Saccharomyces cerevisiae S288C: one gene and its partners. The protein of the gene in region 3 interacts with the protein of the main gene of each other region in a biochemical or structural test. Each region holds a gene or a part of one and is shown on either strand. Other genes may lie near its edges.

Region 1 (6,686 bases), on a different chromosome or scaffold from region 3:
ACGGGATCGTAAATTTCTGGTCTCTAGAAAAAGCAGCGTAGATGTAGAAGCAAGAGTACAATTCAGGAACTCATATTAACACAGTGATCGATCTGAATTCTAAAAATAAACTTAATGACGATTTTTCTACCTAGTTACATAAACCTTTGTATCACTATAACGCAATTCTGTCATGTGTGACGGAGTGACCTCGTTATACATATCCCTGCATTAAAAGCATGCGGTAAAAACTGAAATTTAAAAATGAAAAAAAAAAAAATTAGATATTCGGAAGACTTGTAATTAAGCATTATCTCGAATAAAGAAAGGTTACACTGAAAGTTTCATACTCGCGGTCACTCTTAATAATAGCTATATTTTCTGATTTTCTCTTAAGATTTTGAAAAGGGCATCTGAACGACTGCCCACTCAGCCATATTCAACAAATCGTCGAGCGCATACCTAGCTGAAAAAGATCCATAAAGTGCATTTTGATACAGTCTCTTTCGTCGAAAAAATAGTGGCTATACTTCTTTTCAAGAATTAGGATGAGCGAATCAGTGAAAGAAAACGTTACTCCGACACGTAACTTCCGTCGTACTCAAGGGCCCCAAAATAATACAAAACCTCACAACGACAGGAAGAATTTCAGAAGAAAGCAAAAGAAAAATAACCTTTCTGCTGAACCCAACCTCACCACTTCAAGCGCAGATGATACTGATGAAGAAAATGAATTATGTGTAATTTGTGCGCGCAAGTTAACATACGTATCTCTAACACCATGCCATCATAAGACATGCCATATCTGTGGTTTCAGACAACGAGCTTTGTACAACAAGAAAAGCTGTTTGATTTGCAGAACGGAGAATGAAGAAGTCATGTTTACCGATCGCATAGATGGTGATATTTCAGATAAATATAACTTTTGCGAAAAAAATGAAAAATATGGAATAAATTTCACTAGCGAAGAGGTTGCTACCGAAACACTAAATCTTTTAAAATTTTTTTGTCCCCTATCGAAGGATGAACAAGTTTGTGACTTTGGTAGTTTCAAGAAATATAATGAACACTTGAAATCTGAACATAACAGAATGATCTGTTTAATATGTGCAACCCATAAGCATGCATTCCCTTGTGAGCTTGAAATATTCACCCAAAATCAATTACGCAACCATCAAACTAAGGGTAATTCAGAAGGATTCAAAGGCCACCCTATGTGTGCCTTCTGTTCCGGAAAACGATTTTATTCAGACGACGAATTGTACATTCACATGAGAAATCAGCATGAAAAGTGCCATATTTGTGATAAGATGAACCCCGCTTCTCCTCAATACTTTAAGGATTATAATCAGCTTTTTGACCACTTTAAACATTCGCATTACGTTTGCACCGTCCAAACTTGCTTAGATAACAAGTTTGTCGTATTTAAAGACGAGTTGGAGTTACAAGCCCACATTTTGCAGGAGCATGGTAATATCCTGAAGGGAAAGCCAAAGTTTTTCCAGTCAGAACTTTCTACTTTTATCTCGGCTCCATCTAGAGTGATCAGGGAAAGAGATGATTACGACCTTCCATCTATATCTTCCCTACCGGGTTCATCATCCGGCTCTAGAACTGATGTGAGATCTGCTAGTTCTCCCGAGGAAAGTAGACTAAGATTGGCAGAAAGAGCAAAATACTATCTGGAAAATTCCAAAGAAGACTTCAATAAGTTTTCTTCTTATAACGAAGATTATTCTAAAGGTCGCTTAAGTGCTGAAAAATTATTGGAATCATATAAATTGTTATTCACAAAACCAAATGCGGATGTATATTTATTGATTCATAACTTAGCTGAAACCTTTCCCAAAAACTCCTCCAAATACAATAATCTGAACGCCATATATGAACAAAGAGAGCAAACCCTTGCACGACAAACTTCACTACCTTCTTTATCTAGTGATTCTTCCCTTTCAATGTCAATAGGCAGGGGCCATTGGGGTGGAACAAACGATGGGGGCAGCGCTGGTGCAGCATTAGGCGTTAGGAATATCAAAAATCTTCCAACCCTGAAAAGTCCTTCAGCGTCGTATGATCCCTTTGCAACCACCGTAAAAAAAAACACTCTGAGACCCGTGCAAAACATTAAAAGAACTACACCTCAATCAGTTAGTTATCGAACTTCCACTAATACAGTCGCCTTCTCTCCAACCTATTTGGAAAGTAAAAAGGGTTCCTCTTCTACTTCTCTAAATAATAGCAAAGATAAATTGAAAAGTCTCAACCTACCTCAACTACCTCCACCAAAGCCAAAGGTGCAAATTCCAGGTCTGAACAGACCCCAAATTGCTGATCCTAAGCAGTGGGGTAAAAAGTCAAGCACACAAGATACTAACGTGCACGATAATTTGAGGGAATTGAACACAACTAGTGGAGGAAATAAAAAGAAAGGCAAACAAAAGCAGCTGTTATTCCACATTGGTGTATAGTTGGAAATATATTTCTAACCTGTAACTGACAATAGCATTAGAGAAATGAAAGTCTTAAATAAAATTCCGATAAAGAAAAACTTATTTAATTAATTAATATAATTACAAGACTAAAAAGCATTATTTCCCCTTCGCGTTTTACTTCTCCTGCTCAGACGTCTGCGTTATTTCTGAAAAAGGCCTGTGGACAATGCTAAAAGAGTAGTCAAATTATTGATTAGTTCCTCTATTGCCGCAGGACCAGAATTTCCTGTGGTTGACAGTGTTGTCTGCACAAGGGGCATTCTGGCCTCTCTTTACACCAGCTCATAAGACAACTCCAACAAAATAGATGTCCACATGGCGCGCAGCTAGGATCACTCATGTTCATGAGACATAGGATGCATTTTCTCGAGGCTTCTGGAATAAATGGCAATTGGTTTTTATCTGACAAATTTATATGAGTCAGCTGCGATTCCTTCGGTATGCCTTCTATAGATTCATGTTCTGAACGCTCCTGTAGACCAACAGACGACCTAGTAATTGAATCATTGGTCCTTTTTCTCCCATAAATCCAGGACCCGAGCGTAGAGGTTAGGACAGGGTACCATTTCATAACATTTTGAGCTAATAGGATATAACCTAATACTTTGTACTTTTGTGAGCCCTCTTCTCTAAAATTGGCCTCATTTTTTGACAATATATGTTTAAAAACATATCTCATACCAAAAATCCTTTTGGAAATACTGTAAAAAGCTCCTTTGAAATAAAAGAGGGTCATGTGTACGTCTAAAATGAAATCTAAAAGGCCCTTACAAAACGCGGCAACACTTTCAGTATCTTCAATTTTACTTTCCTTGTTGTTCTTCATTATTTTCTTGTATAGTTTGGTGATGAAATATGGACATAAAGGATAAGCGAAAGCGAATACAATCATTTTGAGCCGTCCTGCAAGTCTGGTACCCTTCCTATTAGTGTATGTCAAGTCAACATATTCCTCACCTAACGTTCTACCACGTCTTCCTGTAGTAAAGAGCAAATACAGGAGCTTGGCAAATATGGACAGTTCCTTAGGGTAAGAGTTAACAAACAATTGACTCTTTATCAATTTGCACAATTCAGTCACTTTCATAATCAAAAGGCCCTGGATTTGTTCATCTTTTTGATGCGCTTGTACTATACTTGGAGCATCGGCAAATGGAAATCTTAGCTGCGATAGTCGCATAAGTGCTTCCTTTTGCAACTTATTATCATTCTTCATTTTGGTCCTCTATTGTATGACCCCCCACCGATGTAGTAGTGTCTGTTTCTTTCTTCGATGTGTAGTGTGCTTTATTACCACTACCTTATTTTTCTAATGTAAACGGCTAATACCTACTTCGCCCTCTCAGATTATCACGGTGGGTAAAAATTGTGATAAAACCGGCTGATTACTTGCAAGAAGATGCACATATGGACAGCTCATGTAGCTGTTGAGACGTTATCATTGTTAGAACTTTGGCTCCTATAATATTATCAATTCACGTTTTGCTGCTTATTCCTCCGAACGACTTTTAGCATTGGGTTACTCTGATCACAAACATCCGTACCCTACACTCCGGGTGATAAAGCCAGCCCATTGTTTCGTACTTTCTTATTACACCCTCATATTGAACGATCTATAAAACGAAGTAATGTACAGACACAAGTGCAAGCGAGGAATATATACGGTCGATTAGTAGATTACAAACCACGAAGTAGAATATATCATTTCCGTTTCGTCTAGATAAAAAAACACTTCTTTGTTCAGAGTAGCTAATTGATGGTGAACGAATTAGAGAATGTGCCACGGGCGTCGACCTTGACGAATGAAGAGCAAACGGTTGATCCTAGCAATAACGACTCACAGGAAGATATTAGTCTGGGTGATTCTAACGAAATTACTTCGTTGGCATCATTAAAGGCTATCCGATCAGGAAATGAAGAGGAAAGCGGGAACGAGCAGGTGAATCATAATGATGAGGCCGAAGAAGATCCTCTGTTAACTCGCTACCATACCGCTTGCCAAAGAGGTGATCTAGCGACTGTCAAAGAAATGATACATGGAAAGTTGCTCGAAGTTAATAACGACGGTGACTCTACGGAACATATCACTGGTTTGCATTGGGCAAGTATTAATAACAGACTTTCTGTAGTGGATTTTCTAGTTTCACAAGGCGCTGATGTCAATGCAAGGGCTGGTGCTTTGCATGCCACACCATTACATTGGGCTGCAAGGTATGGGTACGTGTACATTGTCGATTTTTTGCTTAAGCATGGAGCTGATCCCACCATGACCGATGACCAAGGTTTCAATCTACTACACTTATCTGTGAACAGCTCAAATATAATGCTAGTTCTATACGTTTTATTCAACGTTGTCAGCAAAGGTCTTTTAGATATAGATTGCCGAGACCCAAAGGGCAGAACTTCACTACTATGGGCTGCTTACCAGGGAGATTCCCTAACTGTAGCAGAATTGTTGAAATTTGGTGCCAGCATAAAGATCGCAGATACAGAAGGATTCACCCCACTGCACTGGGGCACTGTAAAAGGGCAACCACATGTACTAAAATACTTGATTCAAGATGGTGCAGATTTTTTCCAAAAAACGGATACCGGAAAAGATTGCTTTGCTATTGCTCAAGAAATGAACACTGTGTACTCACTTAGAGAGGCTCTAACACATTCTGGATTCGACTACCATGGTTATCCCATTAAAAAATGGTTCAAAAAAAGTCAACATGCTAAGCTCGTTACATTCATAACGCCATTTCTATTTCTAGGAATCGCATTTGCTCTTTTCTCTCATATTAACCCTTTGTTTGTAATCATTGTCCTTTTTTTATTGGCCATTGCCACTAACAAAGGCTTGAACAAATTCGTTCTGCCGTCATATGGACGAATGGGTGTCCACAACGTTACCTTGTTAAGGTCACCTTTGTTATCCGGTGTTTTTTTTGGCACTTTACTTTGGGTGACTATCGTTTGGTTTTTCAAAGTTATGCCTCGAACATTTTCTGATGAACAATATACTAACATCCTAATGCTGGTAATACTTGTTTCTGTATTTTACCTTTTTGGGCAGCTTGTTATTATGGACCCAGGATGTTTGCCAGAAGAAACTGATCATGAGAACGTGCGACAAACAATCTCGAACTTGCTCGAAATCGGTAAATTTGATACGAAGAACTTTTGTATCGAAACTTGGATTAGAAAACCTCTAAGAAGCAAATTTTCGCCCTTAAACAATGCTGTGGTTGCAAGATTTGATCATTACTGCCCTTGGATCTTTAATGATGTCGGACTCAAAAATCACAAAGCATTTATATTTTTTATTACATTAATGGAAAGTGGTATTTTCACATTTCTTGCACTTTGCCTGGAATATTTTGATGAACTTGAAGATGCACACGAAGATACATCCCAGAAAAATGGCAAATGTTTCATCCTAGGCGCTTCAGATCTCTGTTCGGGATTAATATATGATAGATTTGTCTTTCTGATATTATTATGGGCTTTACTCCAATCTATTTGGGTTGCAAGTTTGATCTTCGTCCAAGCCTTTCAAATATGTAAAGGAATGACCAATACAGAATTCAATGTTTTGATGAAAGAGAGTAAGTCCATTGGCCCCGATGGGTTATCTTTCAATGAAAACTTCAATACTACTCCAGAAGGATTTGCGCCGTCGATTGATCCGGGTGAGGAGAGTAATGATACTGTACTAGCACCAGTCCCAGGCTCAACGATAAGGAAACCACGCACTTGTTTTGGCGTTTGTTACGCGGTGACTGGTATGGATCAGTGGTTAGCGGTTATAAAAGAAACCATTGGCATCAAGGATAGCACCGGACATAATGTGTATTCGATTACATCAAGAATACCAACAAATTACGGTTGGAAAAGAAATGTTAAAGACTTTTGGCTTACAAGCGATATAAATGCGCCTTTGTGGAGGCGAATTTTGTATCCTCCTTCGGGCTCTAAAGCTTTGCTCAACGGGATAGAAGTTGACTATTTTAAGCTTTACAAATTGCCAAATAAGGATGTTGAACAAGGAAATGATATGGTATGAAAATTTTGTTGTTTTCATTAGGAGAAACTGTATATTTTAGCCTTTTATCAAACAACTGTGAGTATAGAAAAGTTTATGCCTCAAGCTGCAGTGCTTCTTATAAGTGATTGGCTGAATCAAGGACTATTAGGAAAGCTCATGAGGTGGTTAATAAATGTTTAGCT
Region 2 (5,968 bases), on a different chromosome or scaffold from region 3:
TCGCCGTTTATACTTGCGGAAAAATTAGACTCCAGGTCTGCTAAAATCATTTGGTCCTGCTCGTTCCTTACACACGATGCAACTGAACGCACTAACAATATGGATTCCTCCTTATTCAACTTTTCTGTTGCGCCACGTAGAGTCAAACTAAATATGACATCTAACTTAGGCTCATGGATGAATGAATAAGATGGCGAATAGTACATATTGAAATCTCTGGGAACGTCCCTCCAATCTTCCCCACTATAGTCAAATTCAAAAGTACTTCTTGATCTAACGGAAAGTGGGTTAGGTGACGTAACGACGTGATCAGAAGTGGCTGTAGTCGCGTTATGTACCGCATTCCTATTATTATGCATTGCGCCTTCAACGTTTTCGCTATTTGTTGACCCAAAGGCTTCATTTGCACCATCCTCTGCCACCAACTTATCATCATTGAAGATGCAATTGCACCGTCTCCGAAAGAAAACATTATTACTACCAGATGCTATTTTTTCTGTTGGGTTAACAACGCTTTCATCCAATCCTCCATGATCGCTTTCAGAGAAAGATTCATCATAATCTTCACATTCATAATCAAACATATATCTAATATCCTCATCAAATCTATCACCTGACTGTAAATCGGCAAATAAATCTGTTACATCTTCGATGCTTGCTCCAAGCGCAAGTAGAGATGCAGTATGTGACCTTAAATCGGCATATAAAGCACCATGACACAATTTTCTTCCATAGGGCGACATGAATGTGTTTAAAGACTCGTGCTTGAAATCATGATCATTATTTTTCACTAATCCATTGAGAACGGTAGCTATTACAGACCTCAATGCTGCGGCTCCACGAATTGTGGCGCGAACCATAAGCGGCGTTTCGTAAGTGCCATTCTCCTCTTCAATTCTATCAATTTCTAAGGCTAAAAGTATAACACAGGAGAGGTTTTTCCATAAGGATATTAATGAAAATAAAAATGGGTTTAGTTGTATAGGTATTTTTTCATACAACTTGTAGATGGTATATACCGCCAGTATATCAATCATATAGAGTAATTCCAAGTCTTGTGTATTCAGGCCATGCGGTAGCCATCTGTGAAGTTGCGTCTTCCAATGAACTGCATTATCTGTATTGTTTACCGAGTTTAATATATCAAAATCAAAGCAGTTGAGCCTCAACATGGTAGCATCAATAATTTTTTGCATGTTAAAACACATATAAAATTTCCAGTCATAATGGTCGTTGTGTTCTTGAGAAGTCTTGATCGACTGAGACATTAATCCCAAAAAAAGCTGAAAAAGAAAGTCTATCGATATAATATGCTTATCATTGGGAGTAGGCTGCATTAATGGATCTACTAAGCCACATAGCGTAGAAAATTGTAGTTCCAATAATGGCGTCAATACCGTAGTGAGATTTAATATTTTAAAAAGAAGCTCGTGTCTTAGTAAAGAATGCTCCATAACGTTGGGTATTTCAAGCGTTCCATCTTGGTTCAGTTCGAATGAATATATTTGTTCCTGGTCATTTATTGTTCGGCCCATTATCGCCTCTCTCGGTTGTTTTTGATGATCAAAACGGCTATCGTCAAGGCCACTTCCAGCATTGCCTTCATCATTTTCCATTAACAGGCTAATGTTATCACTAAAAGTAAGATTTACTCTGTTCTCAGCATTAAAGGAATACCAGAAATAAAAATTTCGGCATTCTATCATTCTATTGTAATCTTTTAAAATTTTTCTAACGACAAGTGCTGGCTTATCAAATGTGGAGCTGCAGCTTATCAAACTCTCTATACGGCCAGTTATCGAATACAAATAGTCCTTTAACAAATTATACGTTTCATTGAGTAATATGGACGGAATAGTAATTTTTGAAACAATTAAAAAGCTCAACGGGAGTTTGTATTCTGGAAGATTGTACCGATTAATTTGAAGAGGGGCCGTTTTATTTGCTAATAAAAACCTTAAGAATTTCAGGAGTAATATATCATTATCTTTCCAACTCAGTACTATGGAAGCATAGCTAGAACTGTTATTTTCAAAGGACTGGGCCCAGGATTTTCTTTCCTTCAAAGAAGAAGTCTGAATTAATCGTAAAGCTGACTTCCCTGAAATTGTTGTGAACAACGTAATTATGAGAGCCTCAAGCAATAGGTTAGAGCATATTTTCTGATCATTAAACATGGTTTCATTATATAAGATCTTCTCCAAATTTTCCACCGATGGAACATAATTTTTATCTTTCAGTAACTCTTGTAAGGGAATAAAGTCCTTAAAATGAACCGAATCACCTGAAGAATCTTCACTGGCTAAATTTTGCCTTTCAGCATAATTAGTAGCTGCTTTCTTTTTCGTCATCACTTTCTTACGTAAGTATGTGGAGTTAAGAGAGAAAAAGTGTTTGAAAAAAGCTCCTCAACGATCTACTGGGCTGCCAAAATAAAATTCAGCGTCAATGGAAAAGCTAACTAATGTAGATATTGCGTGCACTACTTGTCAAAAATTCGTGCTCCTTATTAATATATGTATATGTATATACAAATGTGTCAATACATCAATAGTGCAATTTGTTAAAGTATTTGTATTCATAAATTGGCGCTGCCCGGGTAAGGTAGAAATTGCATCAGATAAAAGTGAGGGCCCATTGTTTGCCATTCGAACACATCCATCCTACGTGGTATCAATGGTTGTTGATCCGCTCTCTTTCTGCTAGGAAGTACTTTACAATCCCCTGATAGGCACTCATATCGCCACAGCGGATGATATTACCAATGTCTACGTCAAGTGGAGAATCACAAACGGGTTCCCTTAGGAGTCTCCAAACAGCATGAACACAGTGTAACAAATCCCATACAGGAGTCCACTCCTCTGGTTTAAGGATGTTCAGACATATTTCTCCTGTGGCTGATTTAACATTGCAGTGCAAAATATTGTTCTGCATAAAACTTATCTTTGGTGGATTCATGGGGTAGGAACTAGGGACTTCTATTAGTATTCGAAACTGATGATTTTCATAAGGTGTGTCTGACGGCCCAGAAATTATAGCTTCCCACTTGCTCAAGTCGGTTTCGTCAATCGGGTTAAGTGACTCGATTATCCCCCGGTAGGGGTTCGCTATGGGGTCATCACTGGCCAATGTTTTCAGTATGACTTTGTACTCCTTCACGATCCTCGACATACATGTATCAGACGTATAGCTCCTACGATTCTCAAGAATCCAGAAGTTTGGCATATTATGTATAAAGGCGATGATTATGTATATTTTATGTTGTCTCCAGTAAGTGGCAGCATAACCCGGCCAGTCTGCGCTGCATGCTGTGAAGCAGTAATATGCGATATATACCACATATATTCCGCTTCCGTTCAGGATTTCGAAAAGAGAAACTTCAGTGAATGACTATGACTACATAGTTGGAGTCTTAGACCATTGCAAATGAGTTATTCAAGTATGAGAGATCAACACTGATGAGAATAAACTCGTCTTCATGATGATACGGGTAACGCGAATGTATCGCATCAATAAATTTCAGGGAAAGGGAGTTTGACGATCTCATGGATGCAACGGTTGAGGTATATAATATTAAGCAGAAAGAAGAGGAAAAAAAATAAATCGGTAAACCAACCATCAACGGTACGAAACTTACATTCAAAATCAATAATTTACTTTAGAAAAGAATGTCTAATTCTGCCAAACTTATCGATGTCATCACCAAGGTGGCGTTGCCCATTGGTATAATTGCTAGCGGGATTCAGTACTCCATGTATGATGTGAAGGGTGGTTCTCGTGGTGTTATTTTCGACAGAATCAATGGTGTAAAGCAACAGGTTGTGGGTGAAGGCACTCATTTCTTGGTGCCTTGGCTACAGAAGGCGATCATATACGATGTGAGGACGAAACCAAAGAGCATTGCTACCAATACTGGTACGAAGGATTTGCAAATGGTGTCATTGACCTTGAGAGTCTTACATAGACCAGAGGTCTTACAGCTACCCGCAATATACCAAAATTTGGGTCTCGATTACGACGAAAGAGTGTTACCATCTATCGGCAATGAGGTTTTAAAGTCTATAGTAGCTCAATTTGATGCTGCTGAGTTAATTACTCAGAGAGAAATTATTTCTCAAAAAATCAGAAAAGAGCTTTCTACGAGGGCCAACGAATTCGGTATTAAGTTGGAAGATGTCTCTATCACTCATATGACGTTTGGTCCCGAATTCACGAAAGCAGTTGAGCAGAAGCAGATTGCACAGCAAGATGCCGAAAGAGCCAAATTCCTTGTCGAAAAGGCAGAGCAAGAGAGACAAGCTTCTGTTATCAGAGCTGAAGGTGAAGCAGAAAGTGCTGAATTCATTTCAAAAGCCTTAGCTAAAGTTGGTGATGGTCTGTTATTGATTAGAAGATTAGAAGCTTCTAAGGACATCGCTCAAACATTAGCAAACTCATCTAACGTTGTCTATTTACCAAGTCAACATTCTGGTGGTGGTAACAGCGAGTCTTCGGGATCACCAAATTCCTTGCTTTTGAACATTGGCCGTTAAGTCTGGAAAAGCTATGAACACAATAAACTAGGGGAGAAAATTTTTTTTTAATCATATTAGAAACCTGTATATATGGGGGATAACAACGCCAATAACATATTCCATCTTTCCATTTAGTTACCAACACGAATACGTATGCTATCAATATCGTAACTTAGTTTTTTATCATTTATATATATACATGGATGAGCCTACGAAAAAACTAAAGCACATTCATGTATCACCATAATATTATTTTAGAAAGAACTTTTTTTGTTAAATTTATTTAATGCAAAGGTTATATAAAGAACGATCAACGAAAATTGTACGCGAATTGCCTTTTTTTCAGTCCAGTAGGCTTAAACCTGGGAAATTGTAGGTATGCCCATTTGTCTTCTTGCCCTCCTTCTGCTGAATCCGGTATTAGAGCCAAATCCACCATTTTGCATCATACCCATCGTGGCCACAGTCACTTTGATGAGGAATAGAAAACAGGAAAAGTAAAAAAACGCAACAGCAGCCTGAGATTGATGACATCTGGAGCTTGAGCCTTGTATGATCTTATTCTGTTCCAGATATGTTTTGTTTTTACACGAATGGCATCTTATACCTACAGCCAAAGCGGTGGCTGCTACAAACGTAAATATGAAATTTAAAAAATCCAAAACAAGCAAAATTGCTGGGTATGTTAATGATGTCCAGAAATTAGCCAAAAACCCATATAATGAATCCGTAACCAGACCATAAACGGCGGCAAACATACAAAAGTTCACTCGAGAACTATGCTTTGTCTGTGTACCTATCAGGCCGCTGATTAGACCTATGGATATAATAAGAAAAACAGCATTTATGATGCGCACTAAATTATCTGCAGCTGATAGCATTTATTATTGTTGTTGCTTTATTGTTATTTAAAATTCCAATGAATATGAAGCCTCTCAAAAGCTTAACATACTCTATCGTGCTTCCTCCCATCGCAAGAAGGATTTACTGATACAGCCAATTATTATAATTTATATTTATACTTATATCTGCATCCAAGGCGCGATAGGCCCTACTTCCCACCTGCCTGTGCAAAACATTGCTCATTGTTCGTAAAGGAAATCTTCAACAGATTTTAAACGGCATGCCGCCAAAGGGTTCGTAAAGAGGAAAAGTTCATGAGAATACAAGCGCGACATTCTGCCGGCACAATGCGGCGCAGGAAAGAGATACCAAAGGAGTGAGATCTCAACAGCATGTGCCACATCCGCGCATATACAATAAATGTAACAAGCGCCCCGAAATGGAGCTACGAACTATCCCAGCACTAAAAGCACATATATTGTATTGTCGCTACTGCAAAGTGCTAAACATCAATAATTTCGAACAAGCGGAAATAAATCACAGTTCTTTCAATTGCTTGCCTCCCAATACGCCACTGATAAATGTCAAAATTTCCACGTCACCGACCCTTC
Region 3 (8,419 bases):
AGAGGACGAAAATATCACTAATAAAGTGACGGAGAAAGTGCTCACCCAATTGACCGCCTTGGCATTGAAATATCTGATAAAATATAACGTGTTTCGCCAACATACCTCCTTCCAAGAAGCTGTCAATAGTTTAAAGGGTTATAAAATTGAAAATAGTGTACAGATAGGCGCGGAAATTATCCTTGATTTTCTACAAGATAAAGTGCAAATTAAGGATGTAAATGACAGATACCAAATTCCCACACCTAATAATACCGTAGACCCAGGTTTTGATGAGTTTCAATTAATTGACATGAAGGATAAAGAAATCAATATTCAAAAATATAATAATAATACCATAAGAAAATTACTCGAGAAGATTAATCGAATGATAATATTCTTGAAAAATTATGATGCCACTGACAAGCCTTTCTCTTCCACGCAAGATGTAATACTTCGAAAAATATCAATGCTTGTAACACAACTGCAAAGAGGTGGAACAAGTGACATGAATTACCTGCTGGATAACAAAATTAATGAAATAAAATTATTAGAAATTTCGTGTAAACAATGGGAAATTTCAAATATGTTAAAAAAATAACTAGAATATATATATTACACAGAATTATTTTCTTCACTTCCTCCGTCATCAGATTAGTAGCTTCCTAATACCTGTCACAACTTCCCATTTATTCGTGTGTTTGTTGTATGTACAACCCAGCAGCTTTTTATTGGTAACGGGACAATGGCCTTCATTATTAACCAAATAGCTTATGGCACACGGGTAGCATGCCACGTATCCTGTTTCCAATACACAGGGGTTTTGTACAGTTTTTTCGCAAACGGGACAGGCCTCAGAAACTCCCTCTTTATCTTCCGTTTTGTCACTATGTGAGGAGAAAGGCGGCCTTGGAATATCTTCATCCAAGTCATTGACCCTTTTCTGCAATTTAGTAGTCATGTCTTGTGTGGTCCACCATTGGTACACTCTTAGGACAAATATAAAAGTGGGGAAGAATTGCGAACCCATAAATGTTAAAAATCTGGGTATAATCGATAATTGTCCTTGCATTAGCGCGAAAATTGACGATATATTTGTTTTCCTTAGCCTATTATCCATCCCTTTCGTCTCTTTGAGACCAGAGAGTTCTGACGATAGTGGTCTTACCGTTGTGTACTCTATCTTGAATAAGTATTGCAACAAGGAAACCGACCCTGTTCTTTTAGTTAAAAATAATAATTTAACGAGTAAATTGGATAACGCTAATAATTTCTTAATAAATGGATAAATTCTTAGAAACGCTCTCTTGGGCCATTTATTTTCAGTTTCATCGCTGCTGAATATATTATTCATTGATATTTTCTCTAATATTTCATCCAACTTCGCTGTGATATAGGGGAGAATAATTTTTTCCAAAAAAATAACACTCTTTTGCTGTTGATTCAGCTGCAAACCTTGGGGCCATTCACTCTGGCCCTTTGGATTTAAACATTGTGTTAAGGCAAGATTTCTGTCCCTCGAACTAAATAGTTGCAATCCATAAAACCGATCAATAAACGTAGAATTGTATGTCTTTAGATGATACCATTCAACAAACCCTTTTATCGCTTGAAACCACTCAAAAAAGTACTTGTTCAGCCGCAAAGTATACCTGTTAGGGAAGTTCGCCACTAAATGATTTGCCAGTAGATAACGGATGGATGCGGGCAGTAACGAATCGATTTCTTGTGATGACATTATCTCAAAGATAGTCGGATACAATGGTTCTAATCCCACCCCATTTCGACCGCTTGTTGAAGACCCTCGACTAGATTGTCCTGCAGACGGTAGGTTTGAATAAAAGCTCATCACTTGACGACTACCTTCCTTTCCTTTGCTTTATTTTCCCTGCTTATTCCCTTGCTTCTTCTGGAGCCTTCATGCAAAACCGTTTCTCTACCTAATGTGATTCTGCGGTAAGCATTGCTCTTAAGCATCTGAATGAGACGAAAGGATGACTCCACACTAAATTGTACCTCTCTTCTCCAGTGACTGAATTGGAGGTTACCATTGCCAGTGACGGTAATCGTCCACATCGATGATTTCTTAGTATAACCCACACACCTCTCAGACATAGAGGCCCCAGGTGCAACGTGATAGTATAACTGCCCGGAAGTAGAAATACAACTATTCCCTTCATATTAAAAGAATAAAACTTCATTTGAACTCTTTAAAATTTAGTGGTTCATTGTGGTCCTTGTGTAAACGGAAAAAAAGGATATTACGGTAGTGGGTAGTACATAACAAGAGATGACTATCCCTGGAAGATTTATGACAATTGATAAGGGCACTTTTGGTGAATACACTGCTAGCACCCGTTGGCCCATTATCATTCAGAATGCTATAGACGATTTAAGTAAGCATCAAGAAACGGAGAAGAGTAACGGCACTAAGTTCGAACAAGGTGAAGTTATCAAAAAGGAGCTCAAGGAATTCCGTCAGGAGATAATTGATCGTGTACCTTTGAGACCCTTTACTGAAGAAGAGATCAAAATTGCCAACGTCCCGCTTTCGTTCAATGAATATCTAAAGAAACACCCTGAAGTCAATTGGGGGGCTGTAGAGTGGCTGTTCTCGGAGGTTTACTTGTATAGAAGAGTAAATGTTCTTTTCCAACGCCAATGCGAATGGGCTAAATTTGACATATTCAACAGACTTAAACAGTCAACTTTTGAGTCCTCGTTTTATGGTGTCGTGGAATTGGCGTTAAGGTATGAAAATCTGTTACCACAGCTGAGAGAAATGAAGCAAAATCCAGGAAATGAGATTGACGATATATTGAAAGTTCTTTTTAAAGAGTTTATTGAGATTTCTTTGTGGGGCAATGCCACTGATTTATCTTTATTGACCAACGCTACGTTAGAAGACATTAAATCAATCCAAGGGGCGAAAGCAAGAGCTGCATCCGAGTCCAAGATTGTTGTTAATGACACGGAGAAAGCATGGGAGGTATTAACCAAAGCCAGGGCCGATGCCAATAGCAGAGAAATTCGTGTTGATTTTGTATTAGACAATTCTGGCTTTGAATTGTATGCTGACTTGATGTTGGCAGCTTTTCTGTTACAAAGTGGTTTGGCTACCAAATGTATTTTCCACGCTAAAGACATTCCATACATGGTTAGCGATGTTATGTTAAAAGATTTTGATATATTAGTTCATGACCTGAGAGATCGTGAGTTCTTCCCAAGTGGTGAACCCTCGACAAAGGAATCCAGAGCTCTTGATTTATTTGCTGGTGAAATGGAAAAGTTCGTCTCTAGCGGTAAGATAGAATTCCGCGAAGATTCTTTCTGGACCACGGAATTAGATTATTGGAATTTGGACGCAAACGAAACCAAATACCATGGATCCATTTTGCACAAAGATTTGCAAAAATCCAATTTGGTTATTTTTAAGGGTGATCTAAACTATAGAAAATTAACTGGCGACAGAAAATGGCCCCGCACCACTAAATGGGAAACGGCTATCGGACCTCTTGCTACGAATGGTATTACATCATTGAGCTTGAGAACCTGTAAAGCCGATGTACAAGTTGCTTTACCTGAAGGTCTAGACGCGAAATTAAGTCAAGAATGGGAAAAGGAAAATCCTGGCCGTGGTTCTTGGTGGTGTTGTAGCGGTAAATGGGCAGTCATTTGTTTCTGCTCTGGTATACATAAATAAGAATATGATAAGTTCTCTATATAACTTTACTTTATGACTTTCCCTATGAAATGTTCCAAAAAAGCACATAGATTTTTAGTACGTGCCTTTTATTTTATGTACTTCTGATAAAAAAAAGAAAGCTCCTAAGGACAAATTACAATCAATGGCGAAAGAAGAGGAAGAAAGTAATAACGAGGAGAGATCATAAACATGGCGTCAGTAACAGAACAATTCAACGATATTATTAGCTTATACTCAACAAAATTGGAACACACATCTTTGAGGCAAGATTCACCAGAGTACCAGGGATTATTACTTTCCACGATCAAGAAATTATTAAACTTAAAAACAGCAATTTTTGACAGGTTGGCATTGTTCAGTACTAATGAGACCATTGATGATGTGTCTACTGCTTCCATCAAATTTCTAGCAGTTGATTACTATTTAGGATTATTGATATCAAGACGACAGTCGAATGATTCGGATGTTGCTCAAAGGCAGTCTATGAAATTGATTTACCTGAAAAAAAGCGTTGAATCTTTCATTAATTTCCTGACACTATTGCAGGATTATAAGCTTCTAGATCCTTTGGTTGGTGAAAAACTAGGTAACTTCAAGGATCGTTATAACCCTCAGCTTAGCGAATTGTACGCGCAACCAAAAAATAACAAAGATTTATCTGGAGCACAGTTGAAGAGAAAAGAAAAGATTGAGCTATTCCAGCGCAATAAAGAAATTAGCACAAAACTGCACTGCTTGGAGTTGGAATTAAAAAACAACGACGAGGACCACGACCATGATGAATTACTAAGAGAACTATATTTGATGAGGTTACATCACTTTAGTCTTGATACGATTAACAACATTGAACAGAATTTATTTGAATGTGAAATGCTCTCTAATTTCCTCAAAAATTCCGTACATGAAGTCAAATCATCAGGTACTCAGATACGAAAAGAATCGAATGATGATGATTCCACTGGTTTTACCGATAAATTAGAGAATATAAATAAGCCATTGATAGACAAAAAAGGTCAAGTCTTGAGGAACTTCACGCTTGTCGACAAAAGGCAACAACTGCAACAAAAAGTGCGAGGATATGGTCAATATGGACCAACAATGTCGGTGGAGGAATTTTTAGATAAAGAGTTTGAAGAAGGTCGCGTTCTTCAAGGTGGCGAAGAACCAGAGCAAGCACCAGATGAAGAAAACATGGACTGGCAAGATAGAGAAACCTATAAAGCTCGTGAGTGGGACGAGTTCAAGGAAAGTCATGCTAAGGGAAGCGGAAATACCATGAATAGAGGATAGAAAAAAATACCTATATACGTACACATAAGTATCTATTAGACAGATTCATATATTATTTTTTTTTCTGCCTACATCAGTTATATTTTAATCTTGTGCAAAAGGACTTCGTTATTTTTATTCACGGTGATTAACACCGGCGTAGAATCTACAATCAGATTTGAAGAAAATACCACAGGCTCTTTTCTTTCCGAGAAGTTGATGTCTGCTACGACAAATTCGTCGATGGATGGTTTTAGGTTTTCTAAATTCCTAAACTCAAAGTCTCCATTACTATATGATACGGTGATTATGCTGTCGTTCAAATCGAGTTGTATTGGTAGTGTTGACGATGGAGTCAATTGTTCCTTCAGTACAACTTTTTTCTTATCAAAAGAATAAACCAATAATCTCTCATTGCTTAGCTGAATCAGTAGCTTAGAAGTTTTTCTATCCAAAAATAAATGGTAACCTTCTTCTTCTGGCTTACCCGATAATATTGTATCAATCTTCAAATCAATTTTTTGTAGAAGCTTACCCTCGAAATCATATATGGTAAGCTGGTATGGATTTGAAGACAGTAATATTAAGGATTTTTCTGTTATACCCAATATACAATCCAGAATGTTTGTGGAATCATTACTATCATCGTCATCATTATCATGTGTTATTTCATATGTTTCTTTTATGTTAATTGGGACATCCTCAGGAGCCTCTATATTGTCCAATTCCCAGATTCTAATTTGAGATTTATTCTTACTAGCTATCAACAACCATTTATTTTTGAAGTCTATATTAATGATATCACTAGACGAAAACGGCTGTTCTGAGTCTTGTAATAGGTCCACATCTGAGATCAAAGATGCGCTAGAAATAGAGAACAATTTCAAATGGAAACTCTTTTCAATAACAAGGAGTTTGGACGTCGAAACCCAGAAAAATTTCATAATGTCGCTATCTTGCCCTAAAGATATTTTCTTTAAGAGTTTGGAATTCAAGTTTGCGTCCACTTGGTGTATTTCTAACGATTTGGTGTCTGCATCATAAAGTGCCATACAGTCCCCGTAGGAGCTGATAATGTCGACTTTCGACAATTCCGAGTGTATCTTGGATATTGTTTCATTATTTTCACGCTTGTTGGCTGTGCTAAACAAAGATTTCACTTTGGTTGGTGATGGTGACTCTGAAGGACCTTGCTTTGGATTGGGTTTGGTGTCCAAGAGGGCATTATTTAAAATATCCATCCCATTTGTCTTCGCACTGCCCTCTTCCTTGGGAGTATTCACGTTCAGTTTCTCTAAATCGTGCAATTCAGAACCCGCTTCTCTGCTATTTAATGACTCTAACTGATTGACCGTGTTAGGGCCTTTCAACAAATAAATTATTTCCTTCACATTTTCTTGAACAGCTAGCTTAGACTGCAGTAATGAATCAGGCACATGTTTTTCTTCCTTTTCACCTTCAGGAGAAACAGCTTTCGATTGTATTTGATTCAATTGATGCTTCAAATCTCTATTTTCGCCCTCTAGTTCTGCAATTCTTGCTTTCATTTCCGACCTTTCTAGCTCCCAGGTGATTCTATCTCTTTCATTCTTCGTGAACTCCGTTTGCAAGTAGTGCATTACACCAGGTAACGTGTAATGCGGATGAACATGTGCCTGGTTAATAGCCATATTGTTTTCCGGTCTAACTACACGCACTTACTTCTTTTGGGTTTCTTTATTAATGTTGTTGCTTGCTCCTCACATTTAGTCGTTCTAGGTGGCTTTTATCTAAGATTACGCGACGGGGAAGATCGCAAAGTTAAGACCAATAGAGTACTATACCATATCCCAACAAAGAAGCCTAGGGGATGGTGCAGCAGTAAAAACTGAATAGACTATAATAGATCATCCTACGTAAAACCCGAATAGGTTATCTCTTAAACCTTGTTTTCCTGTAAAGTTGTCCCGCGCATGTGAAGACGCAGAGAGTGGAGATCAATCTTAAAACAACTGAAGCAACTAGCACTTTCTTGACATTTAATAAGGAACTATTATCGCGTAAACCAAAAGAAACGCATGTAAAACATCTGCAAGTTACTCCATCATCTGACACCTAGAGACGTACGTATCAGAACGATTTGAGTGGAGGGGTACAAAAAGGGACTCTGTAGATCAAAAACTGTAATATTATCCTTTTTTTTACTTTCTGAGAAGCTATTCGAAAACAAGGAGATAGAACTACAAGCAGTTATGAAGGACCTAAATCCAGAAATGGGGAAATTTGCTACCACTAAAGGCCCTCCTCAAGACAATAGAGGCATGGTTGATATAGCGACACTGCCTAATTTTCCTGCCAACCGTAGTGGGACTCCTCGTGAGGAGATGTATCTGGCGCCCAACAAGATGGAAACTCCAAGGATACTTAATATGAATATGGTACCGGATTATTTGCAAAAAGAGAACTTCTCGCCAGATTTTTCTTCTGCTACCGTATCTGCCAAGTCATCTCCTGTCAACGTTACTCATGATGAGTCGCTTCCTCTGGGAACTATTGAATCGAATAGCACAAAGGATTCTAAATATGCAGTTCAACGGCAACAGCAACAAGTGGTAGATTTCATAGAGAATAATATGCAGCTACTGTCTTCAGAAACACTAAATTTTAGATCAGACATTATGAAAACTTTGGAGCTTCCCATTCCCAAGAGAAGAGATATTAAGGGAAACCATCTATCTAAACTATTATTTGCTAAATCACCTCTAACTATCAACACATATTGCCAATTTTATGACCGTAGAACCAAGCGAATTTGCAATCAAGAAATGATATGGAAAGATAAGAACAGTAGAGAGAAGCATGGTTCTAGAAAGTATCAAAGACATTTGAGTAAAGTTCACGATGTCCAGCTAACACCAAATAATTTTACCGAATTTTTTGATCATAATTCTCCACTTTTCCAGGAATGCTATGACTATCAATCTAGATTGATGCGTGATTTACTTGTTGAACCAGATGCCAAATTCAAAGAGAAGAAAAAGAAGAAAAAAGGGGACGTCAACGGAAATCATCCTGAAACCGGATCGAGCCTCATCAACCACCAGGTCCAACAGCAAAATGTTCGAGAACTTCAATCGAAAATAGCCATGAACGACTTGATAGAGATTCTTATCGATTTAAACATTCCGTTTTCTGTTTTAGACTACCAACCAATGAGAAATTGGCTCATCAAATATTCAATAATTTCAACAGATACTTTGCCGGATGAAGTATACTTCAAAACTGATCCAGGCGTGAATGAACTGGAACACAACAGTAGTAATTTAAACAATAGCAATAGCGGTACTCCTCATAATCATAATCAAAACCAACATACCAATTAATTAAAACTTGCTTTTAATCTGCATACATAAAACTTAGATCAAATAAATAAAAAAAAAAGTAAAACAACCATATATACTATTTCATAAGCAAAAGTAATCAAAT

Evidence for each region. Proteins that work in one complex are often made in the same cells at the same time.
Region 1: the proteins of PEX12 (region 3) and PEX10 form a complex in vitro, tested with the Saccharomyces cerevisiae proteins (one study listed by BioGRID).
Region 2: the proteins of PEX12 (region 3) and PEX4 form a complex in vitro, tested with the Saccharomyces cerevisiae proteins (3 studies listed by BioGRID).

The regions. Positions count from the first base shown.
Region 1 is NC_001136.10:995,865-1,002,550, reverse strand, and holds PEX10 (ubiquitin-protein ligase peroxin 10), read right to left. Parts: upstream 3,688-6,686; coding exon 2,674-3,687; downstream 1-2,673. Other genes in the region: iron-sulfur cluster assembly protein CIA1, read left to right, coding at 1-41; E3 ubiquitin-protein ligase HEL2, read left to right, coding at 528-2,447; palmitoyltransferase AKR1, read left to right, coding at 4,228-6,522. UniProt on the Saccharomyces cerevisiae protein: E3 ubiquitin-protein ligase component of a retrotranslocation channel required for peroxisome organization by mediating export of the PEX5 receptor from peroxisomes to the cytosol, thereby promoting PEX5 recycling.
Region 2 is NC_001139.9:754,153-760,120, reverse strand, and holds PEX4 (E2 ubiquitin-protein ligase peroxin 4), read right to left. Parts: upstream 3,226-5,968; coding exon 2,674-3,225; downstream 1-2,673. Other genes in the region: CCR4-NOT core subunit CAF130, read right to left, coding at 1-2,351; prohibitin subunit PHB1, read left to right, coding at 3,669-4,532; FHN1 (Fhn1p), read right to left, coding at 4,871-5,395. UniProt on the Saccharomyces cerevisiae protein: Catalyzes the covalent attachment of ubiquitin to other proteins. Essential for peroxisome biogenesis. Required for UBC4-independent ubiquitination of PEX5.
Region 3 is NC_001145.3:323,608-332,026, forward strand, and holds PEX12 (ubiquitin-protein ligase peroxin 12), read right to left. Parts: upstream 1,829-8,419; coding exon 629-1,828; downstream 1-628. Other genes in the region: CSI1 (Csi1p), read left to right, coding at 1-580; YMR027W (putative methyltransferase), read left to right, coding at 2,270-3,682; TAP42 (Tap42p), read left to right, coding at 3,875-4,975; FAR8 (Far8p), read right to left, coding at 5,053-6,624; RSF1 (Rsf1p), read left to right, coding at 7,186-8,316. UniProt on the Saccharomyces cerevisiae protein: Component of a retrotranslocation channel required for peroxisome organization by mediating export of the PEX5 receptor from peroxisomes to the cytosol, thereby promoting PEX5 recycling.